Saccharomyces cerevisiae S288C: one gene and its partners. The gene in region 4 interacts genetically with the main gene of each other region. Each region holds a gene or a part of one and is shown on either strand. Other genes may lie near its edges.

What was found.
Region 1: mutations in YSA1 (region 4) and FET5 together harm fitness more than expected from each alone (negative genetic interaction), as found in Saccharomyces cerevisiae (2 studies listed by BioGRID).
Region 2: mutations in YSA1 (region 4) and NQM1 together harm fitness more than expected from each alone (negative genetic interaction), as found in Saccharomyces cerevisiae (2 studies listed by BioGRID).
Region 3: mutations in YSA1 (region 4) and HSU1 together harm fitness more than expected from each alone (negative genetic interaction), as found in Saccharomyces cerevisiae (2 studies listed by BioGRID).

What each region holds. Positions count from the first base shown.
Region 1 is NC_001138.5:43,893-52,530, forward strand, and holds FET5 (ferroxidase FET5), read left to right. Parts: upstream 1-5,246; coding exon 5,247-7,115; downstream 7,116-8,638. Other genes in the region: phosphomannomutase SEC53, read right to left, coding at 1-500; ubiquitin-specific protease OTU1, read right to left, coding at 763-1,668; LAM5 (Lam5p), read right to left, coding at 1,828-3,852; YFL041W-A (uncharacterized protein), read left to right, coding at 4,842-5,033; YFL040W (uncharacterized protein), read left to right, coding at 7,458-8,638. UniProt on the Saccharomyces cerevisiae protein: Iron transport multicopper oxidase, which is required for Fe(2+) high affinity uptake. May be required to oxidize Fe(2+) and release it from the transporter. Essential component of copper-dependent iron transport.
Region 2 is NC_001139.9:577,680-585,334, forward strand, and holds NQM1 (sedoheptulose-7-phosphate:D-glyceraldehyde-3-phosphate transaldolase NQM1), read right to left. Parts: upstream 3,758-7,655; coding exon 2,756-3,757; downstream 1-2,755. Other genes in the region: BUD9 (Bud9p), read left to right, coding at 1-1,451; MTE1 (Mte1p), read left to right, coding at 1,797-2,612; RME1 (Rme1p), read right to left, coding at 5,311-6,213; YGR045C (uncharacterized protein), read right to left, coding at 6,255-6,617; TAM41 (putative phosphatidate cytidylyltransferase), read left to right, coding at 7,216-7,655. UniProt on the Saccharomyces cerevisiae protein: Transaldolase is important for the balance of metabolites in the pentose-phosphate pathway.
Region 3 is NC_001144.5:19,845-28,328, forward strand, and holds HSU1 (cystathionine gamma-synthase), read left to right. Parts: upstream 1-3,724; coding exon 3,725-5,452; downstream 5,453-8,484. Other genes in the region: glutathione transferase GTT2, read right to left, coding at 1,294-1,995; JLP1 (sulfonate dioxygenase), read right to left, coding at 5,912-7,150; YLL056C (uncharacterized protein), read right to left, coding at 7,565-8,461. UniProt on the Saccharomyces cerevisiae protein: Plays a role in inorganic sulfur assimilation during sulfur-limited conditions; catalyzes the conversion of O-acetyl-L-homoserine (OAH) into homocysteine in the methionine biosynthesis pathway.
Region 4 is NC_001134.8:460,678-463,847, forward strand, and holds YSA1 (ADP-ribose diphosphatase), read right to left. Parts: upstream 1,197-3,170; coding exon 501-1,196; downstream 1-500. Other genes in the region: SUS1 (Sus1p), read left to right, coding at 1,462-1,532, 1,613-1,752, 1,823-1,902; transcription regulator CYC8, read right to left, coding at 2,193-3,170.

The DNA of each region.
Region 1 (8,638 bases), on a different chromosome or scaffold from region 4:
GCTTCAACGAACTTGGCTCTGATTTGGTGTTCCTTATCGTATCTTTCGAATTCGTTTCTTTCCTCAGTAGAAGCATTTCTACCAATTGGGGAAACGTTGATCATACCATTTCTAAATTCCAAGAAAGTACCTCTTCTCTTTGGCAAGTCAATTTCAGATAGATATCTCAAAATGAAGACGGCCAATTTATTGTATTTTTCCTCACCGAGCCAGTTGATGAAGGATTGAGAAGCTAATTCCTTACCTAATCTGTAGGCGGTCAAACCATTTTCAGAGAAAGAATAGTCAAATTCATCTAAAACGTTTGGGCCTAACTGTTCTAATTGCTTGCTTAAGTCAGAACCACCGACAAAACCAATGCAGCACTTGTTTCTCAACTTGGCCAAAGTTTTTCTAACTTCTTCAGAAACAGTTAATCTGGCTGGTGTCAAGGTACCATCAACATCGAATAAAACCAAAGTTTCTGGTTTTTCCTTGTAAGCGAATTCAGCGATACTCATTATTGGTGGTTATATTAGCAGATAGGTAAAAAAGGAGAAAGAAGTACTAAGGAAATTGTCGATTTAGTTTTCGTCAAAGATCTTATACTTTGCCAAGAAGAATAGACGATATAAACAGAAAAATAAGTGAAAAGAACACGTAAAAAACGGCACATTTTAATATATTTCAAATTTTTTTTTCATCAACGACAAAAGGAATGCATTTTATCCACTTTTCGTGTCTCATGACGAGTATACCGATAAACGCCAAATGCGTATTTTATTATCTATTTTGGCCAAAATCAACGTGTCCCGTGGATTCAGCGTGCCTAGCAACTTCTCTTTCACCCACAAAGGTCATTTGGCAAGTGTTGCATTTGATCTGGGCCTTATGAGTGTTGAAGGAATAGCCAGTTTGCTTCAAATTTGAGGCCAGTTGCAAAGCTGCTGTTAGAACATCATCTGATTCCGGCTGGTTCTTGTTGAAAACAGTTTTAAACTCGTTCATGGTCAAGGAATCATAGTGGATTCCGTTGAACAGTATCAAAATGTAGTTGTCGAACTTGTCCTCGTTGAACTTTTCGATTTTAACAGCGTCAATGTCGACTACATAAATAGCTACTGCGAGTGCATCGGATATGATACCAATCTCGATGGCTCCACCCCAAGATTCCATTTTCAAAATCCATTGCGCGTAATCTTTGTTAGGTTTGTCCAATATGGCGTCATTGAACTTGACGGGGTTGTTGAGGACCTCCTTAGAGACCATCTCCCTGAGGTCACGAACGCTATCTTGTTTGAAGATGCCATAGGCAATAGCATGGAACAGACACGAGTTGTCGTCGAGAACAGGATGTACTGATAGGACGTTTTCTCCACTGCCACCAATTGACATCTCAGTGCTCTTCAGCACCCTCTTTGGTTTGGGTTGTGGTGGTGGCAAACTGAAGCTTTCGTTACTATCAGAGGACTCTATTGTAATCTTTTCACCAGAGTTAATACCCAGCTCGTCCAGCTGGGTTTGTCCCAAAGAAGCGTCTTCCCCTTGCAAATTGATCCTTTGAGGCGGATATCCAAACCTCATCGTCTTAACATCTACATTGATATGCTCAATAAGATCATTTAGTGTTGCATCTTGCTTCAAAGTAACGACTTGGTTGATTCCTGCTCCAGTAACTTTCAGTTTCATCTTGAAAGTTTCTTCTCTTGGTTATCTTCTTCAATGTTATCTTGTTTTCAAAGGAAAAAGTTGTTATTTGCCACTGAAATCGGCTTATTTCGCCCTTTACTATTAGTTACTACCATTGCCCTATAGAAACGATATATATTGGTACGAAGAAAATACAGATCACAACTTCAGTTCTACCAATTGCAGCTTCACCAGTTGATGTAATGAGACAGCAATTGAACGTATGTAGAACAGATTAAACAATAGCAAAACGACCACAATCAAGTATAAGAACAACCATGTTTCCATGGTGACCTTGAGACCTTGCTGCTCTGCAATTGCGGGAGCCGTAACAACCGCTTCTCTTGGTTGTTCAAGGTCAACCTCTTTCAACTTATTTTTTACTTCTTTATCATCTTGCTCCTCTTCCTCCTTGCTGATAGTAATTTGGCACTCTTCGACATTGTTCTTGATGAACTTGGAAAGAATACGCTCCATTAATTGCGCAGCCTCCAATTGACCATTCTTGCATCCATTTTCAACCATACCTTTGATCCAACTGGAACCAGTCCATTCCACCCAAAAGGATACCCGTAACAGACACGTTATTTCGTCATTCCAACGGATTAGATACCTTGTCTTAGTTGAGAAACTACCACCACTGGGCACGTTCGGAGTGCGTATGCTACTGATAACCTCATAGTAAGTATCAGGATCTTTTCTCTTTATTACCTCAGCAACATAACATGTCGTGGACTTGGGCCCCGCAGGAAAGTGCAATGCTTTCTCGTATGAATACTCACGCTTCAAAGTCATGGAAGATCCGTCAATGCTCGTGAAATTTGGAATAGTGGTAATTTGTGAACCTTCTTGACCCCGTAAAAAATCTAGAAGAAATTCGTTTTGCTCTGAGTTGAACATGATCTCAAAAAGTATACCAGGTGCACAATCGAATGGTAACTCCTTGAGAACAAACTCGTTATTGGCCATAGGTTCAGCCGGAAAGCTTGTTGAATGATGATATATTGGACCATCATACTGATACGAGGAATCGGCACGCAGTTTATACGCTTTCTCTTTTTCTTTATCCGGCGAGGAACTCGTACTATTGGGGGTAGTCTCATTTGTAGAGATATTTTCATCGTCATTTTCATTAGTGTCATTATCATTAGCGTCTTTATCATTGTTTTCCTCATCGATGGAGTTTATTGCATCATCAATCTCTTTGCCATTTCCTGACTTTTCTGCTTTAGTATTGATGTTTTCGCTGGCCATGTCCTTCTGCAACAAGGTTCTTGACCACACTTCTTTCATTAATCCAAATGCAGCATCCCTGGATATAAAACCATTAAAGAGAGTTTTGCCCATCTTTGTTTCGATGGATATTGCGCTGGGGAACAACCCAGCAGCAGAAGTTTTTTCCATAAACGTGACATCTTCGAACGCAATCAGTACTTTAGCAATCCAACCAAGAACATTGGAGTTGAAGCAGAGATGCGTTTCTGTTATGTATAGTTTCCCCTGGTAAAGCAGCTCTCTATTCAGCCCACAATTAAAATCATCCAGTAGTCTGTCATCTTTAGGAACGGACTTGAATGTCTCATGAAAGTCTTTATTTCTTTGCTCAGACGCATAGTGATAAGGTGTGTCCATGTAACGTTCTTCCACGAATCGTCTATGATCGTAATTGTCTTCTTTCATTTGGGAAGGAGTGAGTCTTGTCTTGACCTCATCAGGCTTTTCCACCTGTTGCAAGGGAGAGCCTATTTCAGCAATTGTGGCATTACTGATACGGCGGCTTGATCTTCTTTTGGACCCCATGGAAGGCTCCCTTCTATGTGATATAATGCTTGGTTGCGAAACTGGCGAAGTTGGCGTAGTTGATCTAGAAACTGGGGATGGCACGTTTGACTTAAACGAAGAGATCATTCCACTGAAGAACGAGGACGTCGAAGAAGTCCTTGATTGATCGTGCTTGATCTCTGTAGGGTGTTCATCGGCGGCACTTTGGTTTGTAATCACTACTAAATTCTTGCGTACGTCGTTGGTCTCTGTATTTAGGGGCACTTCTTGCAGTGACTCAGCTTCAGTATCGCCGGCATTGTCATTGTTACTTGCATGCTCAAAGGGGGGACCCAATTGTTTCACAGAATCAGTACTGTCCTCATTATCTGATACGGGTTCCCAGTTATCTACATCCGACATCACCACTAATCTTTTTGTGTAGTTGCCTTCTTCACCCTTTTCTCAGATAGCGAAATGGTTGAGTGTTTTAATATAATTGTCAAGATGCTTTATGAAAAAGGGTGGGAGAAACAAGTCCCCCTGCTCAGCGATACGCGATCTCTCTGATCTCAGACATAAAGCAAACATTCTATCATGAGTGACATTGAGGATGACGGTAATTGGTAATATCTGACCTTCTGACCTCCACTCAACACAATGCAGAAAGCTATCAAATGTTTTGAACCAAACATGAAAGAGATTCAGAAAGTTGCCAAGCCAACGTGATGTCACAGGTCAAAGTTTAAGTGAAGGCTATTGGAATCTGCGGATCAGACATTCACTACTACACGGATGGCCAGGTCAGCGTAAAGTAACCTGGGAAGCCCATGACTTTGGGCCACGAATCCAACGGTGCTGTTCTTGAAATTGAAGTATCTCAAACTACTGTAAAGCGGGTGATGCAGTAAGCATATAGCCCTCATACCCAAATAGGTTTACCAAAGAGTTTCTGTGAGGCCATTATAGTTTGCAGCTCAACATACCATTTGCTGCATCACTGACCGTGACGGCACCCTTTGTCAAGAGTTCGTGGTTAACGTCGACTGCGTTTACTGATTACCGTTACAGTGAATTTCTAGCAAGAGTCCTCTGTAGATGCCACTATTTGTCGCTCTCCATGTAGTAAGGCCGTCCTAGCTGAAGTGTGGGGAGTAAGCTGTAGTTATAGGTGCTGGAACAATTGATCTGCTGGCGGGTGCGGTACTCAGAGGGTTTGGTGTTCATGAGTACACATGATTCCAAGAAAGAGCAAAATGGACAGTTTATAAACGCTATGAAGAACTGCTATAATCAGAAAAAAAGGAAGCCTGATGGATTCGAGTCCTCAGGTACTCAAAAGAGCGTTGAGAATATGCTAAAATGTGTCAAGAACGGTGGAACAGTTAAGTAGGTTGATATCCACCCCTCGAATGAAAATGTGGGGACCCTCCCAACGAGATTCCTTCAGAGAGATTACATATAAAGTGAAATTCAAGTATGACGATGGTGACTACTCCTTGGCCATTGATTTGATGTCTAGGGATTGTATTAATGTCTATGAGTTGATTACCGATAGGCTACTGGTTGATTTCCTTTCAAAAAAGCTGCTCAAGCTAAGATAGGTAAGGTGTTTATAGAATTTATCGAACTGTATCTAAATATTTTTAATATTCTTGTTTTATTACTTTGTGGCTTTTGTATTCAGTCTGCACCCTGTTTCGCCATCGATTCTTATAATACATACATTTTTATATAAGATCACAGAAAATACGAAGACGTAAAAAAAGAGTTCCGAATGAAAGAAGAAAGAATCAAGCACAGGAAGACAAGAAACGATGTTGTTCTACTCGTTCGTGTGGTCTGTACTGGCCGCTAGTGTTGCTTTGGCAAAGACACATAAGTTAAACTATACCGCTTCTTGGGTAACTGCCAATCCTGATGGATTGCATGAAAAAAGGATGATTGGTTTTAATGGCGAATGGCCACTTCCAGATATCCATGTTGAAAAAGGAGATCGTGTTGAGCTTTATTTGACTAACGGCTTTCAAGACAATACTGCTACTTCTCTACATTTCCATGGTCTTTTCCAGAATACGAGTTTGGGGAACCAGCTTCAAATGGATGGTCCTTCTATGGTGACACAATGTCCCATCGTTCCGGGACAAACATACCTGTACAACTTCACTGTCCCAGAGCAGGTAGGAACGTTCTGGTACCATGCACACATGGGTGCCCAGTACGGTGACGGTATGAGGGGTGCATTTATCATCCACGATCCGGAGGAGCCCTTCGAATATGATCATGAACGAGTCATCACTCTATCGGACCATTATCACGAAAATTATAAAACGGTTACCAAAGAGTTTCTGTCAAGATATAATCCAACCGGTGCTGAACCTATTCCTCAAAATATTCTTTTTAATAATACGATGAATGTAACTTTAGATTTTACACCCGGTGAAACGTATCTCTTCAGGTTCTTGAACGTTGGGCTGTTTGTATCCCAGTATATCATTCTTGAGGATCATGAAATGAGTATAGTAGAGGTGGACGGTGTTTACGTAAAGCCAAACTTTACTGATTCGATATATCTTTCTGCGGGGCAAAGAATGAGTGTGTTGATTAAAGCTAAAGATAAAATGCCTACAAGAAACTACGCTATGATGCAAATAATGGATGAGACGATGCTTGATGTTGTCCCACCTGAGTTACAACTCAACCAAACTATCCAAATGAGGTATGGCCACTCGTTGCCGGAGGCACGCGCATTGAACATTGAAGATTGTGACTTGGACCGCGCCACGAATGACTTTTACCTAGAACCTCTGATTGAGAGAGACCTACTTGCTCACTATGACCACCAAATTGTCATGGATGTAAGAATGGTCAACTTGGGTGATGGTGTGAAGTATGCATTTTTCAATAATATCACTTACGTCACACCAAAGGTGCCTACTTTGACAACGTTGCTTACCTCAGGAAAGCTTGCGTCAGATCCTAGAATTTATGGTGATAATATCAATGCGCAGTTATTGAAACATAATGATATCATAGAGGTTGTTCTAAACAATTATGATTCTGGCAGACATCCATTCCATTTGCACGGTCATAATTTCCAAATAGTCCAAAAGTCGCCAGGGTTCCATGTTGATGAAGCTTATGACGAATCTGAGCAAGATGAAATGACCGTCCCTTATAACGAATCTGCGCCATTACAACCGTTCCCTGAGAGGCCGATGGTGAGAGATACAGTGGTTCTTGAACCTAGTGGACATGTTGTCCTGAGATTTAGAGCTGACAACCCTGGTGTCTGGTATTTCCATTGTCATGTAGATTGGCACTTACAACAAGGTTTGGCTTCGGTCTTTATTGAGGCACCCGTTTTACTTCAGGAAAGGGAAAAGCTTAATGAGAACTATCTGGATATATGCAAAGCCGCTGATATTCCGGTAGTTGGTAATGCTGCAGGTCATTCGAATGATTGGTTTGACTTAAAAGGATTACCAAGACAACCTGAGCCACTACCAAAGGGATTTACTACTGAAGGATATTTGGCATTGATTATTTCAACCATTATCGGTGTCTGGGGCCTATATTCCATTGCTCAGTATGGTATTGGCGAGGTTATCCCTAACGATGAGAAGGTGTACCACACGTTAAGGGAAATCTTGGCTGAAAATGAAATAGAGGTTTCTCGCGGCTAATTAAACAAGAAAATATAAAAGAAAAATGAAAGAAGTTTATATTCATATTGATGATTTGCAATCCTAAAAAAAATGTAGCACTGTAAATACTGCTTACTATTGAGTATTTTCATTTTGTTCATTCCATTCCCTATATAATATTCATACGTAATCAAATCTATTGCTTTTTTTTTCTCTTTTATTTCGTTGTTTTAGCTCTGACGTTGTGACGCTCAGCCAAGAACGTCACAAAAAAAGGATGAAAATCAAAAAACAAAATATTCAATAAGTGTAATATGAGAAGAGAAAAAAGAAAGAACAAGTACAGTTTCTAACATTATACTTTAAAAATTATTAAGCACAATGACAGCAATGAAAGCTATTGTCTGGAGACTTCCCAAGATGCCGAAAATCAAAATTACAAAAACTTATGAAGTTACGAAAATTACGGCGATATTGACACTAGTAGGATTTATAATGGGCCTTGAGGTGCCGTCATTGGCAACTTTTCTCACAAACAAAACGTTTAATGAGTACTTCAAGTATCCAACTCCTTTACAACAAGGTTTACTCATGGGGTCCACCCCCCTGGGTGGTATCATGGGATGTTTTATTTGCTGCATAATGAATGATAGATTCAGTAGAATATATCAATTTCAATCGGGAATAATAATATGGAATATTGTTACGTTATTGAACTTTTGTATTTGGGATATATTAGGTTTACTAATTTGCCGGATGATCAAGGGTATGATCCTTGGGAACTTTTCAATTTTAGTAGCATCCTACGCAAATGAAGTTATCCCCCGCGGCAAGCGTGGAAGTACGATGAGCTATATTCAATTGTGTTTAACCATTGGAATTCTTGTTATGCATTATTTGTGCATTGCATTAAGTCTATGGGATTCTCATTTTGCGTTCCGTATAGCGTGGTGCATAGGAATCATTCCTGGATTACTGTTCTGGATGGCTAGCTACGCTCTACCTGAATCTTATCACTGGCTAGTACTACATGGGAAGATGAGTGAAGCTCAGGAAATTCAGCACAATTTAGCCAAAAAGTTTAATGAAAGCCAGCCAAGGGATGCAGTCCCTGAGATGAGTAAGATCGAATTAGCAGGAGATTTTTGGATTGGAGTTAATGATTTGGACTTCTCCAAAAAATTACCTCGGGGTTCGTTTAAGCCTTTGATTCTTGGAATGACTTTACAGTTATTGGTTCAATTTAGCGGTATAAACATTATCCTTGGTTATATTACATACATTTGCGAGATTGTAGGGCTTGAAGGCAATGTAAAACTATTCACCAGTTCCATTCCATATTTCATCAACATGGTTTTGAGCTTGTTACCGATTACATTCATTGATTACACTAGCAGAAAGCTAATTACCTTGTTGGGTGGCTTTCCCATTAGTGGGTTGCTCATTACAATCGGCGCATTATTTGTGAAGTATGGTCAAGACACCAAGCCCATCGACGGCAATAGGAGTTTAGTTTGGTCAATTGGAGAAAACCCGTTTGTGGGAGGATGGATTCTAACTTT
Region 2 (7,655 bases), on a different chromosome or scaffold from region 4:
ACAATGTTTATATTGATGATAGCAAGTATAGTGAAATCCTCAAAGGAGATACAAATTCAAGTAGTACTGATGGTAAACAAGTCTTTGAAGATGCTAGAGATGACAATTTCCATCAGGAATCACATAGAGATCTAGAGGATTCAATTTTAGATTTAGTACGACGAGATCCAGAAGTAGCAGCATTCCCTTTACCTCCGCCAAATTCAAATGAGAGGAACAGAAATTCCTCAAACGGGTCTTCCGCTGAAACTAACCTAAATGGACACAGCAGCAGCGGTACCATCTCTACTTCGGTGCTGTTGAATATGGGTTCGGCAGAAAAGCACGCTGGGACGACCAGAGGAGATCATATGGAATCATCTTCAATGAAATCCTTCGAGAAACTGGGAACCAGACCTTCTTCTTTATTCTATCCACCACCCGAAGGAACTGCGCCGTACCAGGGACCAAGGGCTACCGTCTCCGGAAATAAGTCTACAAGGCAAACACAAGGTACATACTCATTTCCTTCTATGCGGTATGGTGTAGATCTTGTTTCTCCTGTGGAAGGGGCTGTTGATGTAGCAAAAAGCAGAGTTCCTAACAGCACGCTAAATGGTACTTTTCCCGATAAAGCGTTTATCCCACATGAATTTCAAATTCCTAAAAAGGCCTGGAACAGAATACCAGCGAATAAGTCCACTAGCCTCAAAACCCCAAGAAACCATTCCCTATTAATTGACATATTAAAGCCTTTTGAAGCAGCTGACCTTGCTAATGACCAGCGAAGTTCTTCCGCTGTTTTAAAAAATACAGTGCATTCTAATGGGCAGTATAATCCAACTAATGAAACCTCTGGAACTCGAATGCAAGATCAAAGGCAGAAGAATACCAACGAAATTGATTTAGAGAAAATTCCTAATCCTCAAGTCCCTCTTGGTATCGCAATGGACACCATGCGTAGTCCAAACCAACTACACGAAAAGGAATACGAAAGTAATATAGAAGCTGGTTTAGCTTCTGGGGTCGGAAAAGGTGACAATAGTATTAAGCAACATCAATATAAAAAAATTCCTCAAGAAATTGATCGAGATCAGCAATTAAGTTTTCAAATGGAAACAATGCCCATTCAAAGAATAGATTCCTCCTCCATACGTTCATTTGATTCCCGAATATATGGCTTCTCCGAGATTTATAGTATTCCAAGGGTTATAACTACACTGTGCATCTGCCTTTTTGTTCCGCCCTTATTCTTTTTCTTTTCAATCAATGGAAATAATGGCGTTTCAAATTATAGATTAATGAGAATGATAATGAATTATGAACATAGAATCGGCCTCCTCAAAGGGTTTGAATGGGACATTGACGTACAATGGTTCAGGACATTGTGCTTTGTATTAGGATGTATAGAGATGTTAGCTATCTTTGCTAGCATAGGAATAGGATTTGGTGTGGGAATAATAAGAGAGTAACTCCATGCTGGACTTACTCGTCGAAGATTTCCTGCTACTCTCTATATAATTAGACACCCATGTTATAGATTTCAGAAAACAATGTAATAATATATGGTAGCCTCCTGAAACTACCAAGGGAAAAATCTCAACACCAAGAGCTCATATTCGTTGGAATAGCGATAATATCTCTTTACCTCAATCTTATATGCATGTTATTTGCTCTTATAATTGGTCTCTATTTAGGGAAAAAAGTCGGTTTGAGAGCTTCTCGCGATGTGAAATCTCAATTTGAACTGCACGCCAAAGCTAGCCCATTTCACGAACACCAGAAAGAAGAAATCCCCAAGGATCGCATGACAGAGTATGCTCTCTCATATCGTTGAGTATGAATGCCAATACACTGATCAGCTTTACAAGAAACGTAAAATCTGGCACGATGGTAGACTGAAATACTTTCAGTTAAACAACAGATTCATGCTTTATACGGAAAAGGATAACGTTTTGTTAGCTAGTGAATTTAAAATAAATTCAAAAGAGCTGAAAGCAATTCTAAATCCAGAAGGTTTTGATATTGAAGAACATAGGATTTTTAGTCAGTTTTTGGTGATTATTTCAAATATTATTGAGGAGTACGATAGAGATATTCAAGTGGCAGCAACGCATGTTAGGGCATATCCTTCAAATTTGTCGGTGCAAAAACAACGCCCTCTTATCTCAGACAATGCACCAAGTTTGAATCATATCTCAACTGCGAGAGAAGTTCATTCGAACATAAAAGTCACAACTCCCAATCGCAAGCAGACAGAGGACAATGCCACCAAGGGAGGATTCAACATCAGCAAACTTACTCTGAAGGTCAATAAGCCTTTCAAGAAGCCCAAGAGGATATTAAGTACTAATGTGGTAAATGAATCAAATAGACCGAGCATAAGGAGCCAAAAGATTCAGGAAGTGACACCACAACTACACGAAACAAACACAAGCACTAAAGTGCAGACAGCCGGAAAAGTTGCGTTGAATAATGATAATATTGCGCAAGGTAATTACGCCACGATTACCGAAGAAGCTAAAGTCAGAGACGGTTCCGACAGAAAGAAAGATATGGCGAACCTATCCAAAAGTGGTAAAAGGAGAGTGGGCGGGATACGAAGAATTGTTCACGAACCCCTCGGAATTTGATTATACGTCAGAATTTTAATGAATATATAAGTCTGTACACTATGCTATGCACATATACTCAAACAAATTCAATACTAAGTACCGAAAAGGAAAGTGGTATATATATATTTATATATATAAGTAGGTACCTCTACTCTTAATGATCACATTTTTTCTTCAACCAGTTTGTACAGTGCTTCAATGTCTGCGGAGAATTTTCTGATACCATCTGATAGTTTTTCTGTAGCCATTTGATCTTCGTTTAAAACATATCTGAAATGAGGCTCGTCGTTGATAAAAGAGACTTTTTCGACGCCTTCTTCCTTAGCACTCTCAGAATTCAATTTGTTTTCAATAGGATCTGTTGATTCATATAACTGTTCTAGAAGGTTCAGTGGGAGAGTCATATTATCAATACCGGCTAACGCCTTCAATTCATCTAAATTCCTGAAAGAAGCCGCCATTACCTCAGTTGCATAACCATGCCTCTTATAGTAACTGTATATCTTCTTAACAGAAAGAACACCGGGATCAGTTTCTGCAGTATAGTCTTTGCCTGAAAGGGCCTTGTAAAAGTCCATAATCCTTCCAACAAATGGGGAGATCAATGTGACATTTGCCTCCGCACAGGCTACTGCTTGCGTAAAGGAAAACAGTAATGTCATATTACAATGAATACCATGCTTTACTTCCAATTCTCTAGCAGCTTGGATACCCTCCCACGTAGAAGCTATCTTGATCAAGACTCTTTCTTTAGGTACTCCCGCATCTTTATATAGTTTGATGATGTGGAGAGCCTTCTTCACCGTCGCCTTCTTATCAAAAGATAACCTTGCGTCTACTTCAGTGGAAACCCTTCCTGGGACTACCTTCAAAATCTGGGTGCCGAATTCCACCAAAATCTTATCCATGGCGTTCTCGATTTTCTCATGATCAGTTTTGCCATGCTTTCTACCATATTCAACGGCAGCGTCGATAAACCTCGCATATTTCTCCAACTTTGAAGCAGCCAATATCAGAGAAGGGTTAGTTGTTGAATCCTGTGGTTCATACTTCGAAATAGCCTCAAAATCACCCGAATCAGCAACCACATGGGTCCCGGCCTTTTTTAATTGTTCTAAAGATGAGGTAGCAACTTTTTGTTTTTTCTCTGAAGGTTCTGACATATTTAATTTCTTGTATATATGTGATTATTTCCTATTTTTTATGACTTACGCTAGCAAGAAATAATGATATACTTAGCATAAATATGACTGCGCTGCAAGATTGCTCTTCTTTTATATGTTGTCCACCCCATTCTAGATGGTTAGAAGGATCCACTATGCTCCCCTCATTCGCCCCTACTATGGAAGAAGAAGAGAAGGACAAAAGACGTATTTCGTTACAAGTCAAGAAGTCCGAGGAGTACAAGAGCCAAAATCAGAGCCAGAGCCAGAGCCAGATCAAGGAAAGTAACCTATAATTCCCCGCGTTAACAGTCCAGTCCCTCTTATTGAAAGCTTCGTCATCCTGAAAATCCTTCAACCCAGACCGACTGTTGAAAAGCCCTTTTGTGTCACAAATCCGTAACCATATTACCCTACTAACATCCGGAAATAATTGCCGCTCACTTTAGGGAAGGTCTCTAAAGGGTAATAATCGAGTTGATGAAAAAGCCGCTACCCCTATTTGAAAAATAATGAATAATGGCTTTCTGGCATGAATAGATTTAATACAATGCTGACCTTGAAAATGTGAAAAAAGAAAAAAATTAATATAAAAAAGAAAAAAAGTAGAAAAAGAAAGCTATCTTTTTTGGTCTATTCAACCAGATAGTGTGCATTTATTATATTGTCCCCCCATATTATTCATCAAGAAAATTACAAAAGAGTAATGCCATTTTTCTTCTTTTTTTTCTTCTTCTTGGCTGTACAGATCTTTTTCCATAAAATGATTGATCTAGCGATTATTGTTTCTTAATATTTTTCCTGTCCTGCAATTGTTCTCGAGGATTGCTATATTTCTCAAAGATATTTTCAGGAAATGTGCGTGCGATGTGAGTTTTTCATTGAGGGTATTTAGAAAAATAACCGCCAACGGTGAGAACATAAAAATCTTAGCTGGAAAAGAACTGCCAAAGATACTATTACCTAGAGGGTTCGTAAATACGGTTTGTGGAACCAGGGCGATGCAACTAAAAAACATATAAATTGGAAATTACGAGACTTTCGGCACAAGAAGCGCTAATATCCTACTTAAGTGGTTGAATTCTTGTATGATTAAAAAAAAAAAAAAAAACACCTGTCTTATTTTCAATTTTATGGTACTGACTTTGAGGGTACGTGAATCATCGAAGGAAACATAATTGCACTGATATGTAAACTTCCTAGTTTCAAATGTTTTCTCGGAATACCAAATAACCTCTAGCCATAAGTTTATTTTCAAACTTTTTCCTCTTAGGTGATAAGGGAGATTAGAAAAAAAGAAATATTTATTATTGAAATAACTGTCCAAAGAAGCAAAGTGAATATAGAAGAAAAAATGCGAGTACTTACGATTTTTTATTTAGCTAAGTAACCAACGTGGTGCCATATTCACGACATAGCAAGTGTCCATAGTTGCATGCGTTTTCTTTAATATCATTGTGTTTTATTTTTATTACTTTAAGAAAAAATACAGTAGCTTTCATGCCTGCACAAATTTAACAAGAGTTTCATGGGGTACATTTTTAATGCCTCAACTATTTGGTATTGTTCAAAATTTTCTTCAAACGCTTGTTAAATCTTGAATCAGCGTTGTTATGCACCATGGCCACATGTCTCTTATAGGCGTCTTTGCGCCTAAACGTTTTCTGACAGATAGGAAATGGGCAATTCAGTCCTGGATATTTTTCTACTTTTAGATTTAATGATTTCTCCATCTCTATATCAAGCTCTCCTATATGTTGGGAAGCACAATGTCTTCTCAGACCAGTTGCTTGTTGGAAACCCAATATTTTCCAGGGACATTGCTCTATGGGACACTTACACGGTCTTTCAAGGTTGAATTCGTCTAAGTGCGCGGCAAACTCAACTAACGTTGCGAACTTTTCAGAACAATGAGAACAGTGGTAACTTCCTCTTTTTGTTTGCCCTTCGGAAATTGTGCTGAGTACTTTGGGGTCGTGATATAGCTGTGCCACGTGCGATTTTTGGGGATAGCCTAGAATACACTGTGAATGGGATTGTTCTGTTGTATTGCTCTCAATAAATACAGGATTTGCTCCTTTTTGACGTCCATAATTAATAAGATCTCTGAACTCCGGATCAACTAATGACGTGATACAGTGTGTACTGTCCGCTATTTCATCCGGCCGTAATTGAGGTGCTGTACCTTCCTCAGTAGACGACGTAGAGTCATAAGCCTGTCTCTGATTTCCGGCTATAACTGTGATTGTGTTTTCTAATGATAGTAGTAAACAGTCCTCAGTGCTGGAAGGCAGGCTGGAAGGCAGGCTGGAATCCCCCTCTAAGGGTGATGCCGAATATTCTTTCATGTTTTGCCCGAAATCGTGCCAATGATAAATCGGTTGCACCTCTTGTAAAACCTCTCTGTTCCAAGACCCCTTGGCGATGGCACTGTTTTGTCCATAACACGGTGACATAAGTGCTGAAAATCCCAACTTCTAGTAAAGAATTAACAAATTCAACTGTATGACTTATAGGATAAGAACAATGTCAGTTCCAATGCGTTGACACAGTAGAAAATATATTTACTAAGAAGCAGCTTCGTCGTTGGTATAGTTTCGGTTGATCTAGATATAAATATAACTACAAATAAATGGCAGGAAAAATTGAAGCAAATGACACAGGACATATCTATCACATTGCTCCCTTTAATTTCCTCGAAGGCACTCTGGCCTTTGTTCTCTGCATAAGAAAAAGCCAGCAGAAAATACGGTGATATATTTAATACATGCCCGGCCACTTTTCTGCTGGTAAAGCCCACCGGAAAAGTTCGGATTTTCTTATCCAGTATACGCCGACCTTTTGATGTAATCTGTGACATCTCACTCCGGCGGCCATTTTACGTGACGAAGCATCCCTTACAACAGAAAGAAGAAAAAAGATATGCCGCTTTGCGGTTTCTTTCTGGCAATGTATGCACTCATAATGCTACTCGTTTACCCACTATCCCTGTCCAAACTAAAGAGGGAGGAAAGCACTTTTTGCATTTACACATCGTAGATTATAAAATGATCGTTAACAGGCGCTTGTGATTTTGAATTTAAGAAATGTGGACTAGAGAAGTCTTAAATCGCCAATGCTGTACCAGACTCTCTATAGCATCTAAACACGAAATTCAACTGTTATCTTAGTTTTTCACTTACCAGTAGCGCGCTTGTTATTCCCACGTTATTATTTGCCCCCACATCATAGGTCAAGTGACCTTCTCTTACCCGACATGAATAAAGAAAAGAAAAGAAATCATACCCTTCAGCCTGTTTAGCCATAAATAGTAAAGAGTAGATGTTTCGACGGACTAAATAATGTGAAAAAGGTTCTAAAACCTTCAAAACAATTAAACTTGAGAAACGTTGCTATAGGATTGAGCTAATAATTTGAATTAATAGGAGCTGCTTTTTACTTTGATATATCCTGAAGTTATGTTACGAGTTTCTGAAAATGGTCTACGGTTTCTGCTGAAATGCCATTCAACGAACGTAAGCATGTTTAATAGGCTTCTGAGTACTCAAATAAAGGAGGGGAGAAGTTCCATAGATGATGCTGGCATTATCCCCGATGGAACTATTAACGAAAGGCCGAATCACTACATCGAGGGAATTACTAAAGGCAGTGATCTGGACCTCTTGGAAAAAGGTATAAGAAAAACTGACGAAATGACTTCCAATTTTACAAATTATATGTACAAGTTTCACAGATTGCCCCCCAACTATGGAAGTAACCAGCTCATTACTATCGATAAGGAACTTCAAAAGGAACTGGATGGGGTAATGTCATCCTTCAAAGCTCCGTGCCGGTTTGTATTTGGTTACGGCTCAGGAGTTTTCGAACAAGCGGGATATTCCAAAAGTCATAGCAAACC
Region 3 (8,484 bases), on a different chromosome or scaffold from region 4:
TATTCTAGGCCCTGTATATTCTCCAATAACAGCGGCACGTCCAGGTTCTGTGACAATGCTAATATATTCCTTTTTTTTTTTTTTTTAACTTAGTATACGCTGTATTGGAATCAGTGATTTCATCTAAGTTTACTAACGCTTACACAATTGTGGAAGAAGAGGATAGAAACACCTCAGATCCCCTTGTTACGGTAAAACCCCTATTCTATGCCTCAGTAATAACTAGAAATAGCCGATTATCATTATGTTAAGCCTGTCGATACGCATTACAGTTCAAAAAAAAGGCGGACATCGTGGTTGATATTTGTTTGAGGCCTTAAATTTTATTGTATTACATGTATAAATAGCTAACAACATTTGTTCAGTTGGTACCAATCACCTTTGTTGCTGGGTATCCGCACACATTAACAAGACAATGGAAAAGGGAGAAAACTAACAATCTTAAACGATAAAACCGGACGAAATAACAGCTGTTATTTTTCATGCTAGAACTAATGGCTTGATAGTATACTTGTACCTTGTATCTTAGTGCTTGAACGGATGATTCCCGTCGCCCCACACCTATGCATACAAGACGTCAATCTTCCTGTGATTATATTTTGAGTATGGCGTAGTAATCCCATATTTCTCGTTGGGTGGTGCTGATATTTGAAAATTCATGACCTGTTCTACATACGGCTGCCATTGGTAGGACCGCAATCACAGTGTAATTTTGAAGAACTTACATTGGGCCAATGGATGAGCTGTGACCATAATTTATTAGTTGTTTGTGTCACAAGCTCAGACTTAGAAGTTCTCTATTGCAAACATTATTTCATGTTTCCTTAAATTTTTTTTATTGCACCAACTTTAGTGACCCCTTGTGAGCTCCAACATATTTGAAATCTTCTTAAATTTCTAGTCGGCAAGCAGCAAAGAATTTCAGTAGTAATCTCTACCGCGGCAATATCGATGCAAATGTAACTACCTGTAAGGATATTGTCTTCAGTGGTTTGGTATGGTTTTGTACCTTACTCAACATCACGAATAAAAAGGAAGGAATACGAATCATGATATTGATGTTTAATCTTTCACCGTCAAACAATTAACATATATAGTATATATATTCTTTTATAGAATACTGCTTGAGCTATTTTTTTACTTGACAGAATGGCGCCGCGAAGAACCCCTAAATTTTGTAGCCCTAATTTCGATCAGTTATATATAGCTATGGCACCCTCTTGAATAGCTTCATGATTGGATCTTTTTATATAGTTTCCACGTACCACGCAAAACTTGTCTCAAGTAGCCACTTTACGAGGATTTTGAACGGATTTCTAGCAGTTTCTTCACGCTGGGGCGCTGTTGCATTCTCTTATACCAAGCTCGAAGCGCCTCGCACTCTTCCGGCACTTGTAGTTTTACAATTGCAGCAAATATTAGACCAGCTATTACTGTGATGTCAGCCATTGAGAATGAATCACCAGCAACATATGGGCGTTCTCTGAGAACGGTATCAAAATAATGCATTCCATGTAGGGCTTTGTCGCGCTGGCGAAGTCCCCACTCTTTGTTTTGGTAAAGCTCGACTTCAGGCCCCAATCCAGGTGTAGCATGGTGAAAATAAACACTAACAGGGTCGAGCAGTTCCAACTCTGCGCGTTTGTTCATCATGTGGATTACGCCTTTTTCCAGCGGTGTTTTGCCGGTAAGAGTGGGTGTACCATCAAGTGCATCAATGTATTCAGTAATGGCTGTGCATTCAGCGATTAAAGTCCCGTCATCAAGTTCAAGCACTGGCACTGTGCCTGAATAGTTCTTGGCAAGAAATTCAGGCTTCTTGTGCTCTCCCTTCCAGAGGTTGATCCTCACAAATTGCACACTTGATAGCATGTTCTTCTCAGCCAAGGCAATGCGGACTCGGGCCGGATAAGGCCCTGCGGGTGTGTCATATATTATCATTTTTTGTTTCATCTTTTCACCTCCATTGTAAATCAGGAAACCTCTGCCATTCATGTATCCTTTGTAGGTACTTTATATAGAGCACCAAGTTTCTATCCTTTAGCAGGAAGCACATTATTAATCATTTGAGACGTAAACGAATGAATTAGTAAGCAGTGAAAGAAATTCGAGCACTAAGCGCGACCTAAGGGAACGGACACGGAACGGAGAAACTGAAGTATCAAATACTTCCATTTGATCAAACCACTTGTATCCACTCCCTGTTTTGCACACGGTAGTAGAAGGTCTTTTGAATATTTACTGTAAATACCGATTTCTATGTCCTTCTTGTCCGATTATAGGATTCGGGTCATTTCCAGCGCCTACTTTCCTTCTTGATTTCAAAATGTGTGGTTAACGTACTCCCAATTGCACTACTGTTCCTACAGTTCACGCGCACCTCTTTCTGATGAAAATGCAGCTGCATTAATCTGCGATCTATTGGCATCTCGCTCTTGTATCTGCCCTCCATTCGTGAAATTTTACTCTATTACCATCTTTGATCATTTTTTTGTCGCAAATGTGATACGGCATCCATCGAATTTTGCTCGTAATTGTTTGCCATTATCGCCCTTTTCATTCCGTATTATTCATCCACTCCGCTTCATAATGGGTTCCAAAAAAAGAACTATTGTACGAGCTTTTAGACTCACGAAAACATTACTTGAACAATAATTAGCGCCTGCAGAACTTGACATAATAAAATTCCATTTTCGATATCTAGCTGTCTGAAGATATGATATCTAAGTAATACGGGAAAGTTTCCGCTATTATTCTCTGTTGCAAGCTCACGTGAAAATGTGGATTCGCGAGTGGGGTGTAAGTGAGGATTGCCAAGCCTTTTGTTCGAAAACTTCTGCAGGAAGCGTTGTGTTGCAAGGATGATGCAGCATGAAATATGTGTTTTCTTTTTTTCGAGGTTCACTCCTACAGGTGATTCCTTCGAGAAATTCTGCAACCCATTGTGATATGATGCCTGGCCGAAAGATTTCTTCATTTCTTCGGAGCAGGTTCGGCCCGAAATCCTCATGATCGAGCCGAATGCCAAGAAGTAAAACACCAGGATGACTAACCAGTTATTATCATGTGTATACAGTACTTTGGTACCTTTATCAAGAAGTATACTAAAATATACCAACACCACACACATGCACATGGTAGCTGAGCGAACAGTTTCGAGATTTCAGCATTAATTTCATCTAATAAGACTTTCCGTCTGCTTTCAAGATCAACGTGCTGAACATTTTTACTCTGCTTTCATAATACTCCCATTTTAGGCTTTGATTCAAAAGCCCACTCAATGCAATACCTAAAATGATATCCTTCAAAGATATGTTTAATGAATATGCAGCCACAGCTTTGAATTCAGATTGACCTTGTGTTGCATTAAGTCAGACACCTCTAGATTTGTGTGGCTGCTCTCAAGAAAGGATGTTGAAGAAGATTTATTTACGGAAGAAATAACTGTATACGGCATTTTATTCTTTCTTAAACGAGCAAATTAAAGAATAGACGGATAGAGACTGGAGCTTTAGCATGTGTTCCGAGAAGTCCTTGACACGCGCCACGGTTGTTATGCCGCACACTACAATGATGTGTTTGAAAAAGTATATTAATGCCTATTGTCAAGATGCAATTCATCAATTCCAGCATTGAGTGATTCTTCTCTGGTGCGGTAAAACATAAATTTTAAATCTAGTACTCAACCACCACTGAACAACTATTAATCATCGTGGAAATTATTATGACGGAAATTGAATTTGGGCAACCCCTTCCCAGCAATCTAGACTATGCTGTTTCTTTTGGCATTCCTACATGGGATTCGGCAATAGGCTATGCGGAAAAGGTGCCAGAGGTAATAGGCAAAATGGCTACAGGATATCCGAGGTACTTTCCTCAACCCCCCGTCCAGAGGCTTTGTGCTTACTTTGTTAAGAAATTTGGGCGAGGTTCAGAAAACTGTCGTCCTTTTCCATCCGTTAACCTGGGTTTAAAGTGTTTCGAGTACGTAAAATCTGTCTCAGGACCTGAAAGTAAAGCTCACCTTGAAGTGGAAACAGTTACGATTAAAAACCGTGGGGCAAAAACGTCGAAAGAACCGGCGGAATTGGTGCTAACCATTGCTGCTGTCCTTGCATCGGAGGAAGAGTTCGAGACTGTGAAAGAGTATTGGAAATTAAGAGGTGAATGTGTATCTAGTCGATTGGCGTTGTCTGTCAACCAACTTCTTGACTGCGCTAATCATGGCTCAGAGCAGGTATTGCGTGAGCTAGAGGCTGGTGTTTTTGCAGCAAAGAAGGGGGAGGAGAAAGCAAAGAACCTGATAAAGGGAAGGATAGTTGAGAATCGCTTCAGGCCCTTTGGTTTGGAGAAGAAAACCCCGAATTGGGAGGGACTCAACCTCAACCCAAATGAAGACGTTTATCTTGTATCAAGTGGCATGTCTGCAATATCTACGGCTCGTAATTTACTCACCTTTTGGGAGGAGAAGAAGAATTCAGGAGATTCATTAAACAAGACCACCTCTGACCAAAAGAAAAAGCCATTATTATGTGACACTGTTGGCATCTTCGGCTTCCCTTTCAAAGATACGCAGGTCATTATGACTAAATTTGGAAAATGTAAATTTTTTGGATTTGGAAATTCTAGAGACGTTGTCGAATTACAAAAGTTTTTAGAAACAAGCAAACAACGCATTCTTGCCGTTTTCGTCGAGACACCTTCAAATCCTCTGCTGAATATGCCGGATTTGAAAAAATTGAGGAGTTTGGCCGACCAGTATGGCTTTTTTATTGTAATTGATGATACTATTGGGGGCCTTAACGTTGACATCTTGCCCTATGCTGATATAGTCAGCACGTCCCTGACTAAGCTTTTCAATGGTGCTAGTAATGTAATGGGCGGCTCTGTCGTTTTAAATCCGAAATCATCTCTGTATCCATATGCTCGTGAGTACTTCAGGAGCGCTAATTTCGAGGATTTGTTATGGTGTGAAGATGCGATAGTTTTAGAACGTAATTCCAGGGATTTTGAAGATAGAACTTTACGTGCTAATGCAAACACAGGAATATTGTTGAATGATTTGCTTTTACCCGAGGAGGGGAAAATATGCAAAAAGATTTATTATCCAACTGTTACTTCTAAGGAGACCTTTGAGAACTACGAAAGTGTACGTAATGAACGTGGTGGCTATGGATGCTTGTTCTCTGTAGCCTTTTTCAATGAGGGCGATGCAAAAGCATTCTATGACTCTTTAAAGGTATTCAAGGGACCTTCTAATGGTACTAACTTTACCTTAGCATGTCCATATGTCCATCTGGCGCACCACTCAGAATTAGAAGAAGTTTCCAAGTTTGGGGCCGACCCCAACATTATTAGAGTAAGCGTAGGTTTAGAAGATATCCAGTGGTTATTGAAAGTTTTTTCAAGTGCTTTAGATGTTGTGAAAAGCAGAGGCTCCAAACACTCATGAAGCAGATCATGAGTAGAATATCAAAAATCAAGAATTCTTTATAATCTTTATAGAATATTGTTTATAAAAGTTTTTTTCCATTCTAGCATATAATTTTTTTGGAGGAAGTCTTTTCTGGAACCTTCACATGGATCTTAATTAATGAAAGTAGACAGAGCTCATAAGATCACTAGTTGTTTATAAACTGAAGATGTTCCTTCTTATTGACTTCAACATTATATCGCTCTGAATTAGTTGATCTGTAACTTCAGAGTTTCTTTACCAGAATAAAAGCGTCACAGTTTTTCTTTAGTTTATATGTACACAGGTTGGGGTTTACTATAAACTATAAAAAAGAAGTGTTGTCGCCGCTATTTTAAGGTTTATACACAATTTTAACCAAAAAAAAGAATAAGTTGAGCAACGTTGGAACTGCCTCTGCAACGAATTCCGGCTATATACAACCTGCATCTTTGAAATTCAAATATCCAAAGTTAATGAAGAAGGATAATAATTTTCATCATTCAAAAACTTTAGATCTTCCACGGGCCTTTCCGCTTGTGGAGTAATCCTGAACGCATGTCTGTGAATTGGTTCTTCCCAATCAATCACTGCTGAATGTTGAACTCTGCGGTTATCCCAAATGACGACGGAATGAGGTTCCCATTTGGCTCTTAACTGTAAATCATGGCTGCTCTCCACTAGATTGTACAAGAAATTCAAAAGTGATTCAGATTCTTGTCTTTTCAATTCGACTATTTTCCTAGAAAATGCACGATTGACATACAAGCATTTCTTTTTCAAGACAGGATGAACTCTGACCAGTGGATGAATATGCGTGACAGGTGCTCTTCTTTTTATGCCGCCCTGGCGCTGTGAATTCTCTGCCTGTTCCTTTGAGCTATGGATGACATGAAGCGTGCTCAAGAAATCTTGCAAAGGCTTCGACAACCTGTCGAAAGCCTCGATCGTATCCGCAAATAACGTATCTCCACCACCATCAGGACCTTCAACAACACTAAAGAAAGTATAAGAAGGTGGCTGTAACTCGTAAGAGACGTCTGTGTGCCAGCCACCAGATGATGTCGAGTCATCAAAAACTCTTGCAAATTCTTCCGCATCAGGTCTTCGGAAAGTGATATGCAGCTCAGGATTGTTTTGAGGGTGGCCACTAGTTTGATGAATGTGCAACTTGCCAAAATGTCTTCCGTATTCAGTCACATAATCGGGTCCCTCGTCAGCAAAATTCTGATTTCTAAAGACAACTACTCCCTTTTGGGCGACAAGCAAAGCGAGTTCATCTTTTGCAGCATCAGAAAGATCAGTTAGCTGGATCCCATTGATCTCGAGACCTAATTTCGGGGTGATCTTCTTCACCTTTAGTTGACCAACGTTTTCTTTTGCAAAAAGGTTTGAAAAGTTACCGTCAGCTCTCAAAGCAGGATCATGGTATTCGTGAAATTCCAGCGGGCCATACTTTTCAGTAGGATCCCATGTAGGCAAATAATCTGGATACTTCGATTTCTCTCTATAAGATTTACGGATTTTCAATAAACCAGATGGAGAGACCTCATCTTGGCCATCATAAAAATGGGTATCAAAATTCCCGTAACCTTGCTTGGAGGTATAATTCAGGTTTTTCAACCCATTTGTAATGATTTTGACTGGTAAATCGGTAGATGGAAGAGGGATTGCTGTTTGAGCTGCTGCAGGAGACATATTTTAACTGGGTTACTGTGCTATGTTTGTACAAGTATGAAAGGGCCGATTATACAGCAATAGTACACCTTTTTATATGTTTCTGTCATCAAGAACTGTTACTGACTCCTTAACTTTTCCAGCATTCTTGTTGTATTGCCTACATACCTTCTTTATGTTAGTAGTATGATAAATAAACTCCATGTGCCCTGTGGCGCCAAATAAGAAATCGACTCAAGCCACATTGAGGCTTTTGTCATCATTCCCCTATATACTAATATAGCACCTTTCCAAGGGCCAAGAGCTCGTCCAATGAGACGCATGAGTTGGGTATTTTAAGCTGCACAGTAGACTATATAGATAAAGCTAACTAGTATGTAAAAAACGTTACATGCTATGGCGCTCTTAGAAAAAACGCATAATATAAGCTTCAAGTCAGTTTAAGCTATAGTTCGCACGGATATCTTCAAGAAGACCGATTTGTTGTGGCTGCCATCCCAGCTCTTTTCTGGTACCTTCGCTTGAAACTGGGCCATCTCTAGTGACAAAACAAGTGAGGAAGCCAAAATGACTTTCCGCGTCATCAACAGGGATAGAGGCCACGGGAACATTCAAAATTTCTCCAATCACACGCGCAATATCTTTGAATGGTATACCTTGTTCACCAACGCAATGATACACTTGTCCTGTTTTTCCTTTCTCTAAAACAAGTCTGAACAGAGGAGCCGTATCCAAACGATGTACAGCCGCCCAAGCGTTTGTGCCTTGTCCGACATAGCCAGATTTTCCGGCAGCTTTGGCAATATTCATTAATATTGGTACAAAAGCCTTGTCCCCCTTGCCATGAACCGAGAATGGGAGTCTGACAATTCTTGCTGAAACACCTTTGTCTTTGTAACTCAAGGCAACCTGTTCAGTGACAGCACGCAAAATTTTGGAATCTTCATCAATACCATCCTGTTCGTTAGCAACTTTGTTTGGTCGCAAAGAAAGTGTACCATTCGTATATAAGAAAGGCTTGTTAGAACCTTTAAGTGACTCTAGCATAGCTACAGTGGCCTGACGGTCAATTTCGCAGCACTGTTCAAAATTTTTAAAATCATGCACAAATCCTAAATGAATAACGCCATCAGATTCAGTGGCACCTTTTTTCAAAATTTCCAGATCCTTGAGATCACCGCGAAGGATTTTTGCAGCAGGATCAATCGACTTAATCTTTGCAGCAGCCTCGTCTGACCTTGCCAAGCCAACAACTTCATGACCCGAGGATATTAGTTCAGATAATACGGCAGAACCAATGAAGCCAGAAGCACCAGTTATAAATACTTTCATTTTTTGATCTCTTTTTTATTTTC
Region 4 (3,170 bases):
GTTGATAAATATATCCTCAAGGACTACTTCTTTTATATTTCTTGTAGGTGATGTTGTGCCCTCATCGTTAATTTGAATCCCAGCAATTATCAGACAGTTCTGCCGCCCTTCGGCAATGTCCAAGCTGTAGCCAAATACTTAAATCAAGGAACACTAACCATGTATGACATACAAGGAGCACTACCACTGATTTCAACAGATATTAATGGTAGTTTTTTGCAGAATCGTAAGGTAGATCAGTGGAAATAGTAGAAAAGGGCTAGTTTAGATTCAAAATTTGGTAACACGTAACGTCGCGCTTTGGAAAATATACCTCAATGCTGACTACTTAAGATGGCAAATAGCCTTGTCAAATTTCCTACGGAATGTTATTTTCATTACGTCCTTCTTTTTCAATGTACTTATTCATAAATGGGACACTATCTTGTTGCAAAAGGTACTTTGTATTTTGGTATTAACATCTCGCCTATTTTTCATACAGAAACACTACTTATCGCTATCTATTTGATGTGGTATTGCTTGGCCATGAGGATACCTTGAGCTACGTTTTGAACACGTGCATCCAACTTGTAGCCTTGTTGATCCAACTTAACCATTTCATCAGGAAACTTGTGCAACTCAACGCTAAAGCATTCGATAAATTCATTATCTTCCAATTGAGTAACTGGTTTTTGGTTTTCAGGTAAACTCATATCAACTTCGACAGTAACCAGACAGAGGTTGGTGTTTGTGAAACCAGGATCGTTAAAAACTGTTGGGCTTTTAGAAATTATTTTACCACTGTAACCAGTCTCTTCTTTTAATTCTCTTAAGGCAGCAGTGTCAATATCTTCACCCGCATCTATCAAACCGGCTGGCATCTCAATGCATACGCCCTCAACGGGAGGGCGAAACTGCTTTTGTAGCAAAATTTCATCAGGTTTTCCATCTTTGTATTTTAGAATGGTTAAGATACCAATGCCGTCTACACCACCGGAACTTCTAGTGGTGCGGACTGCGCTATCCCATTCCCTTTCCTTCCCGTTGGGATCTTTGTAGATGATTTTTTGTAAACCGATCCACTTGCAGTCAGATGTTTCTTTAACGTGACGGGCTTCAATTATTTTAGCATCTTCTGGTTTACCCTTGACGGTGCTCATAGTTCTAAATAGTCTCCTTGAATTGAGGGAAATAACTCTTACGTTTCTCAAAAACATCTAAGTATGAGAAGGAAGGAAAATGCCGAAAGAATAATCATAAAAGCATATATACGTGATTCATATGAAGGCTGTCTGACGTTGTATTAAACCGCTAACGGCCGTACTTGCCATCCCTTACGGAAGTGTATTCGCTTGCCGGACCTCTTCCTCCATGAAGACCAAAATGAGGAATTATGAAAAATAAAAAATGAAAATTGCCATAGGCATGGCTTGACCAACACATGCGACAAAATCAGAAGTAACAATTCTGGCCTTCACTCCAATGACTATGGATACTGCGCAATTAAAGAGTCAAATACAACAATATCTTGTAGAATCAGGAAACTATGAACTGTATGATAAAATATTATAGGGGTTGTCTTTTTTAAAAAATCTACTTTACTGACTATTCAGATCACCGTCACATTTATTAGAATTTCAAACGAACTAAAAGCCAGACTACTTCAAGAAGGTTGGGTGGATAAAGTCAAAGATTTGACCAAATCAGAGATGAACATAAATGAATCTACGAACTTTACCCAAATTTTATCCACCGTAGAACCCAAAGCATTAGGTATGTGAATATTTTATCACTAAATTTATTGAAAAGAGAACGTTACTAACAGTGGAATTTTTTTTTCTAGAAATGGTATCGGATTCAACAAGGGAAACCGTTTTAAAGCAAATAAGGGAATTTCTTGAAGAGATTGTAGATACACAATGAAGGATACGAAAATGCACCTTAATTCCCAATATTATTACATATGCTCATCGGGAAAACCTTTTAAGCAATAATAGATTTTAAGTATGTAATGATACAAATAATAATATATTTATATACGCATATATTTACATGTGCATATATGAAAAATAACCTAATTCACGTTACCCACCTTTTTTTTTAGCCTTTTCTTTATTTATATATGTATCCACAACATAATGAATGAATTGTGAGCTACACAACATTTCTCGTTGATTATAAATTAGTAGATTAATTTTTTGAATGCAAACTTTTTAGTCGTCGTAGTTTTCATCTTCTTCCACTTGCCTTACTACATTTTCTCTTGGAAGTGTGTTCTCCTGTGGGGATTTTTCTTGAGATGTTTGCTCTTCCTCACGCATTTTGGCCTCCTCTTTCACTGTTTCCATTGTTTCCAAAGTAGGTTTGATTACAGTTATCGTTGTAGCAGCGGTTTCATCTTGTTGTTTTTCAGCATCTCTGGAAGCTGCTGGCTCCGCCTCTTCAGTAGAAGGTGCAGATGCTTCAGTTGTGCCGTTTTCCTCTTTAGAATGCTGTCTTACTTCGTCTTCTACAGGGCTTGCTTCTGCAGGAACAGTAGCAGTAGAAAGTTCTATGGTCTCAGCAGTGCTTTGGTCATTTGCTTTTGTTGTTGAACTTTCTGATGATACAGTTGGTTGGACACTAGATGACTCTGGTTCCGTATTAAGCGGTTTTGTAGAAGGAGAAACAGAAGCTGCTTTGGTAGCTTCTTCAGCAGGACTAGCTTCCTGTGGAGGTTCCTGTGCGCCAATTACTGAAGGTATTGAGTTTGCTTTTACAGGTTTTTCTTCTTGTGAAGTATTATTGGTATTAGACTCCACTACTGCTGGCGATTGGTTGCTCACCTCAGATTTTGCATTTTCTTCAATGGAAGTAGCAGTATTTACTAATTTGTTGATGTTTGAATTTGGAGAGTTCAACTTTTGCTTCTTTACCTGTGGTTCAGCGTTCGTTATTCCTGTTGCGGGAGCTTGCGTTGGAATGGCATGGGTTGGTTGACGAGGAGACTTTGTGTTATTCTCTGTGTGGGTGCTACTGGATACGGCGGCATCTACTAAAGTGTGGATTGCACCTTCCATGTATCTCTTTTGAGGTAAAACGTTCTGTTCCACGTTATGCTGGATTAAAGGTTGGGGAGCTTGGGCTTGAGGCTGGCCTTGAAGTTGTTGTGGATGTTGAACAGATTGTAGTTGTTGCTGTTGAGGTGGCAG